Linked DNA regions of Anolis sagrei. The protein of the gene in region 1 interacts with the protein of each later gene in a pairwise test. Links are inferred from orthologs where the notes say so. Each region holds a gene or a part of one and is shown in the gene's direction. Other genes may lie near its edges.

What was found.
Region 2: the proteins of ARID5A (region 1) and SOX5 interact in a two-hybrid assay, tested with the Homo sapiens proteins (2 studies listed by BioGRID and IntAct). The two-hybrid records come from large-scale screens. The link is inferred for Anolis sagrei from reciprocal best matches to the Homo sapiens genes ARID5A and SOX5.

What each region holds. Positions count from the first base shown.
Region 1 is NC_090027.1:23,191,363-23,195,290, forward strand, and holds the start of ARID5A (AT-rich interactive domain-containing protein 5A), read left to right. Parts: upstream 1-1,719; 5' UTR 1,720-1,788; coding exon 1,789-1,903; intron 1,904-3,928. UniProt on the Homo sapiens protein: DNA-binding protein that may regulate transcription and act as a repressor by binding to AT-rich stretches in the promoter region of target genes.
Region 2 is NC_090025.1:185,153,773-185,157,700, forward strand, and holds the start of SOX5 (transcription factor SOX-5), read left to right. Parts: upstream 1-1,498; 5' UTR 1,499-1,873; coding exon 1,874-1,911; intron 1,912-3,928.

The sequences.
Region 1 (3,928 bases):
AACACAGGAATCTGTAGTCCAAGGACCCAAGCTCGAGAATTGGCAGTAACAAAGATTCACACCCCAAAAGAGACTTTGCCTTCTGCAAAAATCCATGCAAACAATACCCACTTTTATCCTAAAGTTCCTCATCAGAAGATGAGGTGCTCCCCACTCTTTCATCATCGCTCTCAGCTGCCCCATTCTCTGCAGCTGAACCCGAATGCCCATCCCTCCACCTCTGCCAGCGTCTGTCAAGACTTAGATCTTGCCAAGTGCTCCCCGGTTGGCGTTCCTCTGTAAACCCCTCAAAGTCATCGCTGGAGGTGGGTTGGGTACAGATATCCCTAATCTCCTGTACACGGATCCAATCGAGCCCATCCTCCTCCCCCATGTCACTCCCAGACCCATCCCTCCCTTCAAAGCCCATGAAGTCCTTGTCCTCTGTAGGAGCGTTAAGTATATCACGGATGCGCTTCCTTTGAGTTTCCTCATCAGACTCTGGATCGTGAGTAACCCGCTTGACTCCCCTGCTTTCCTCCCGATCCCCCATTTTACAGTCGGAGAAGCCCTCAAAGGTTTCAGAATCACTCGGGGCCATGATTATCTCTCTAATCTGCTTTCGCTGCTGCTCCTCTTCCAACACCTGCGCAGCCCGCTTCTCCCTCCTACCAGTAGTAGCAACGTTACCATCACGCTGAACTACAACAGCATGACTGCATGGTCACCGTTACCTTCCCGCAGAAGCGATACCTATTGATCTGCTCAATACCTATATACCATATATATTCGAGTATAAGCCGACCCGAATATAAACCGAGGCACATAAATTTACCACAAAAACTGGGACAATGTATTGACTCGAGTATAAGCCTAGGGTGGGAAATACAGCAGCTATTGGTCAGTTTCAAAATAAAAACAGATACCAATAAAATTACATTAATTGAGGCATCAGAATGTTAAATGTTTTTGAATATTTACATAACACTGTAATTTAAGATAAGAGTGTCCCACTCTGATTCTAACCTTCTTCAATGTAAATGTGCTTATGTATCCTTCCAATAAGAATAAAGAGAGTAACATAATGTAATAATAAGTTCTTGTGGGTTTTTTCGGGCTATAGGGCCATGTTCTAGAGGCATTTCTCCTGACGTTTCGCCTGCATCTATGGCAAGCATCCTCAGAGGTAGTGAGGTCTGTTGGAACTAGGAAAATGGGTTTATATATCTGTGGAATGGCTGGGGTGGGGCAAAGAGCTCTTCTCTGCTGGAGCTAGGTGTGAATGTTTCAACTGACCACCTTCATTAGCATTTGAAGGCCTGGCTGAGCTTGGGAAAATCTTTTGATGAGAGGTGTTAAGATGTGCCTGGTTGTTTCCTCTCTGCTGTTTTGCTGTTGTAATTTTAGAGTATTTTTAATACTGGTAGCCAGATTTTGTTCATTTTCATGGTCTCTTCCTTTCTGTTGAAATTGTCCACATGCTTGTGGATTTCAAAGGCTTCTCTGTGTAGTCTGACCAAAGAAGTCAGCCATAGCAGAGCACCTGATGAACCAGCCTGGACACAGCATATTATTTGAGAACACAGAAATGCTGGACCACACTAACAACCACCATGTCAGATGATTCCAGCCATGAAAGCCTTCAACAATAATGTAATAATACTTGTACTTGCATTGCAACTGTTTAATTTCCAGAATGTAATTGGTGATTGCATTGGGTTGTTTTTCCTGCAGGAATCTCCCACTTCCAAGCCGGAACAGGCAGCCGAAGCTGAGCAGAAGAGTCTGGCCGAGGAATCGGGAGACGAGATGCTGCCTTCCAGCGAGAAGGAAGAGGAGCAGACGTTCCTGGTCAACCTCTACAGGTTTATGAAGGACCGGCACACGCCCATTGAGAGGGTGCCTCACCTGGGTTTCAAGCAGAGTACGTACGTCCCTGAATGCATTTCTTGCACGTTTGAGAAACCAATTGCCGTGTCTATGAAAGGCCAACCTGTGGGTTTGCAGAGGGCAGATCTTAAATCAGACGTTCTCAAACACTTTAAACTGAGGACTGGTTTGCTGTCCTTCAAGGCTGTTGGGGGACCGTACTATGATTTGGAAAACAAAACAAAACAAAATCCAACAAATTCCTCTGCACACTGCGCAGCGTATTCTATATAATAATTGTATTACATTATTATTATATTACTAGCTGTCCCCTGCCATGCATTGCTGTGGCCCAGTCTGGTGATCTGGAAAATAAAGTAATTATAAAGTGTTGGTTTCTAATATATGTAATTTCTTTAGGCTTGTGAGTGAACAGTATTTTTTGTTGTTTCTTTGTCAGTGTTGATGTGGAGAGTGTCTGTTTTGCCTACTCTGGAATATGCAACATATCATAGTCCTTCTTTAAGGGTCTCTTTCAAATCTATGATACTATATCTGTGTGTGTGTGTGAGAATCATATCTATCTATCTATATTTATGACTGGATGGCTCTTCGTCAGGAGGGCTCTGATTACATTTTCTTGCCCTGTTGAAGAGAGTTGGACTGGATGACCTTAAGTATTTTCTGTTGGTCATGGGGGTTCTATGTGGGAAGTTTGTCCCATTTCTGTCGTTTGTGGGTTTCAGAATTCTCTTTAATTGTAGTGAACTATAAATCCTAGTAACTACAAATCCCAAATGTCAAGTTCTATTTCCTCCAAACTCCATCTGTGTTCATATTTGGGCATATGGAATTTTTGTGTCAAGTTTGGTCCAGATCCATCATTGTTTGAGTCCACAGTGCTCTCTGGATGTAGGTGAACTACAACTCCCAAACTCAAGGTCAATGCCCACGAAACCCTTCCAGTGTGTTCTGTTGGTCATGGAAGTCCTGTATGCCATGTTTGGTTCAATTCCATCATTGGTGGAGTTCAGAATGCTCTTTGATTGTAGGTGAACTATAAATCCTAGCAACTACAACTCCCAAATGTCAAGTTCAATTTCCCTTAAACTCCATCTGTGTTCATATTTGGGCATATGGAATATTTGTGCCAAGTTTGGTCCAGATCCATCATTGTTTGAGTCCACAGTGCTCTCTGGATGTGGGTGAACTACAATTCCCAAACTCAAGATCAATGTCCACCAAACCCTTCCAGTTTTTTCTGTTGGTCATGGGAGAACTGTGTGCTAAGTTTGGCCCAATTCCATCATTGGTGGAGTTCAGAATGCTCTTTGATTGTAGGTAAACTATAAATCCTAGCAACGACAATTCCCAAATGACAAAATCTTTTTTTTTTTAGTGGAGGACATACATTGGGTTGTTAGGTGTCTTGTGTCCAAATTTGGTGTCAATTCCCCCAGTGGTTTTTGAGTTCTGATGGTATCACAAACGAACATTACATTTTTATTTATATAGATAATATTATAGTAGAATTATAATTATAGAATATAGAATTATATATAATATAATATAATTATGCAATACAATTAACTATAGTAATTATAATTATATAATTATAATTATATAATATTATATAATTATATTTAATATATAATTATATTATATCTATATAAATAAAAATGTAATGTTCATTTGTGGGATTAACATAACTCAAAAACCACTGGACGAACTGACACCAAATTTGGGCACAATACACGTATCAGGCCAACAAGTGACCATCACTCATAAAAGCACTGAAAAACACAGCAGAAGAGACTTAAAAAGCCAAAAAATAAAAAATACATTACAACGCATGTGAAAAACCATATATATATATATATATATATATATATATATATATACACGCAAACACACGTATATACACAAATATACACACATACATATACACACTTAAACACACACAAAGCACATCTACACAGACTGGGCCACAGCAACGTGTGGCAGGGGACAGCTAGTATTATAATATTGGACTCCCTGGTGGTGCAGCAGGTTAAACTGCTGAGCTTCTGAATGTGCTGAC
Region 2 (3,928 bases), on another chromosome or scaffold:
CTTAGGATTGTCTGTGTGCCCCATATCTCTACCTAAAAACTCTATCCCAGTTATATCCTACCTTGTCCATGTCCAGCATTATTTTTTAAATTTTAAATTATTGCATTTGGCCCGGCCATAGGTTTTAAATGCTTGTTGTTATTGTTTACTTTTGTGTATGAGATTTATTTTAACTGTTGTATTGATTGTTTTCTATTGCTTTTACTCATGATGTACTTTGGGATCGGGCTCATGTAAGTCGCCCTGAGTATCTTGGGTAGACGGTAGCGGGGGTATAAATAAAGTTTATTATATTATTATTATTATTAAGATGGGATGAATTTGGCCAGGGATGGTGGTGGGGTATCAAATACAGTTTATTATTGGGTTGTTGTAGGTTTTTTCGGGCTATATGGTCATGGTCTAGAGGCATTCTCTCCTCTGAGGATGCTTGCCATAGATGCAGGCGAAACGTCAGGAGAGAATGCCTCTAGACCAGTGGTTCTCAACCTACCTAATGTCGCGACCACTTAATACAGGCCCTCATATTGTGGTGACCCTCAACCATAACATTATGTTTGTTGCTACTTCATAACTGTAATTTCGCTACTGTTATAATTTGTAATGTAAATATCTGATATGCAGGATGGATTTTCATTCACTGGACCAAATTTGGCACAAATACCCAATACGCCCAAATTTGAATACTGGTGGAGTTGGAGGAGATTGATGTTGTTGTCATTTGGGAGTTGTAGTTGCTGGGATTTATAGTTTGCCTACAATCAGAGAGCTTTCTGAACTCCACCAATGATGGAATTGAATCAGACATGGCCACACAGAAATCCCATGACCAACAGAAAATGCTAGAATGGCTTGGTGGGCATTGACCTTAAGTTTGGGAGTTGTAGTTCACCTAAATCCAGAGAGCACTGTGGACTCAAACAATGATCAATCTGGACCAAACTTGGCATGAACACTAAATATGTCCAAATGTGGACTCTGGTGGAGTTTGGGGAAAATAGACCTTGACATTTGGGAGTTGTAGTTGCTGGGATTTATAGTTCACCTACAATCAAAGAGCATTCTGAACCCCACCAATGATAGAATTAGGCCAAACTTCCCACACAGAACCCCCATGACCAACAGAAAATATTGTATATTCTGATGGTCTTCGGGGACCCCTCTGACACCCCCTCACGACCCCCCCCCAGGGGTCCCGACCCCCATGTTGAGAAACACTGCTCTAGACCATGGCCATATAGCTCGAAAAACTTACAGCAACCCAGTTTTTCAGATGGGATGAATGCGGCCAGGGGCTGAGAGAGTTGCCTTGCCACTAACTAGCCAGCTTTGCGCCTTGAGAAGGAGTGGAGAGCGAGGGAGAGAGTGTGTGTATGTGCCTGTGTTGTGATGATGATGAGGATGTTGGTGATGGTGAGGATGGTTGGAGGTGTGTGGGGAGGGGAGGAGGAAAGGGGCTGACTTTGCAAGGCTCTCCTTTCTTTCTGGTTTGGAGGAGGAGGAGGAAGAGGGGGACAGAGGCGAGCGGCGGAGGACAACCATGTGGCGCAGCGGTGGGGGGAGCTTGCTGGAGCCGGGCTCCTCCAGCTAAAGTGCGCTGCCCCTTTAAGAGACTGGTCAAGGAGTCCTAGCTCAGAGAGGGAGAGAGAGAGAGAGAAAGAGAGAGAGAGAGAGCGAGGACAAGAGAGAGAGAGAGAGAGAGAGCTGGAGCCAGAGGGGGGAGAAAAAAAATCAATCGGTTTAGGAGGTTTGGCTCCACTTGACAGGTTCAGTTGGAGGCGATTCCTTCCTCGGCGACAAAGGAAGGGAAGAAGAGAGAGAGAAGAAATAGTGCGTCCTCTCTCTCTCTCTCTTTTTTGTTCCCTTCTCCAGCATGTTAACCGACCCCGATTTACCTCCGGAGTTTGAAAGGTGAGTGCTTGCATTTCTGTTTTTTCTCCCCGGGAATCAATTGTCGGGTTTTCGGTGCGTTGGTTGCGCGCGTGGCTCCCAAACGGTGCGGGGATTGCTGCTCCAAAGTGCAACTTTCCCTCTGTAGAGACAACCTTGCCAGTGGAACCACAACCACAACAACAACAACAAGGAAGAGGAGGAGGAGATCTCGGCACTTTGGCTCGCTTTCCCCACCCGGCGTGCCGCTCTTGTCAGATTGTTGCTGATCCGCGTTGGGGGTTTGGTTGCCCTTCTTCCTCTCCTTCTCCTTCTTCTCCTTTCCACCAAGTGCCCAAGTCCTCTACTTGGTAGCAGGGATGCCTCTCCGAGCCGGGATCCGAAGGAGCATCAGCTCCGACTCTGATCTCTCTCTCTCTATCCCTCTCTCCCACCTCCCTTCTTCCCTTTCCCCGGCTCCTGTCTTCTCTCCTTCCTCCCCTCCCTTCTCCGCCTTCCCTGGAATTAATCTGCTCCAAACCCAGAAGCAAAGAGATCTCAGGCAGATTTGGACTTAATGTCTTTCCCCCCTCCTCTCTGTTTGTCAAAATAATAATAACAACAATAATAGCATTAAGCCTGAAAGAGGGAAGGAAAGAAGGAAGGAAGGAAGGCGCGCTCAAGTTCCTGGGAATGAATGGGGAGAGGAGCCGAGCAGGCTGGAAACTTTCAGTGTGATCCTTCCAAGAGGAAAGAGGGAAACTTTCTAGGCAAGGCAGCGCATCCATCCACATGACCTTTGGGTTGTTGGTCTCCTAAGGTGCCTTCTCTGGGAGCAACTTCACTCCAGGAACAGGAAGTGGCAATAATCATAATAATCATAATAATAATCATAATAATATAACAATAATAATCAAACAAAATCACAAGAGAAGTGTTCCACTTGTGATTTTGGGATACGAAACCCAGCACATATCTCTCGTTTCCTGTGCCATACTTTGTTTTTGTGTCAGTAAAATAATAATAATAGAATATGTATATGTATCTAATAATAATAGTAATAATAGTAATAGAATACAAAAGTCAGCATAGTGATCTTGTTTGCTGTGTAGTGTGTACTAGTCTTGCTATGCATCTAATAATAATAGTAATAGACTACAAAAGCCAGCATAGTGATCTTATTTACTGGGTACTAATCTTGTTATGTATCTAATAATAATAGTAGTAGTAATAATAATAATACTAATAGAATACAAAACTCAGCATAGTGATTTTATTTACTGGGTACTAATCTTGTTATGTATCTAATAATTATAGTAGTAATAATAATAATAATACTAATAGAATAAAAAAGCCAGCATAATGATCTTGTTTGCTGTGTACTAATCTTGTTACGTATCTAATAATAATAGTAATAATAACAATAGTACTAGAATACAAACCCTGCACAGTGATCTTATTTGCTGTGTACTAATCTTCTTACGTATCTAATAATAATAGTAACAATAACAATAGTAATAGAATACAAAACTCAGCATAGTGATCTTATTACGTATCTAATAATAATAGTAATAATAACAATAGTAATAAAATACAAAAGCCAGCATAGTGATCTTATTTGCTGTGTACTAATCTTGTTACGTATCTAATAATAATAGTAGTAATAATAACAATAGTAATAGAATACAAAACTCAGCATAGTGATCTTGTTTGCTGTGTACTAATTTTGTTATATATCTAATAATAATAATAACAATAATAATAATAGAATACAAAAGCCAGCATAGTGATCTTGTTTGCTGTGTACGAATCTTGTTATGTATCTAATGATAATAGTAATAATAATTATAATAGGAATAGAATACAAAACCTTGCACAGTGATCTTGTTTGCTGTGTACTAATCTTGTTATGTATCTAATAATAATAGTAATAATAGAAATAGAATACAAAACCCTGCACAGTTATCTTGTTTGTTGTGTACTAATCTTGTTATGTATCTAATAATAATAGTAGTGGTCATAATAATGTGTTGTCGAAGGCTTTTATGGCCATAATAAA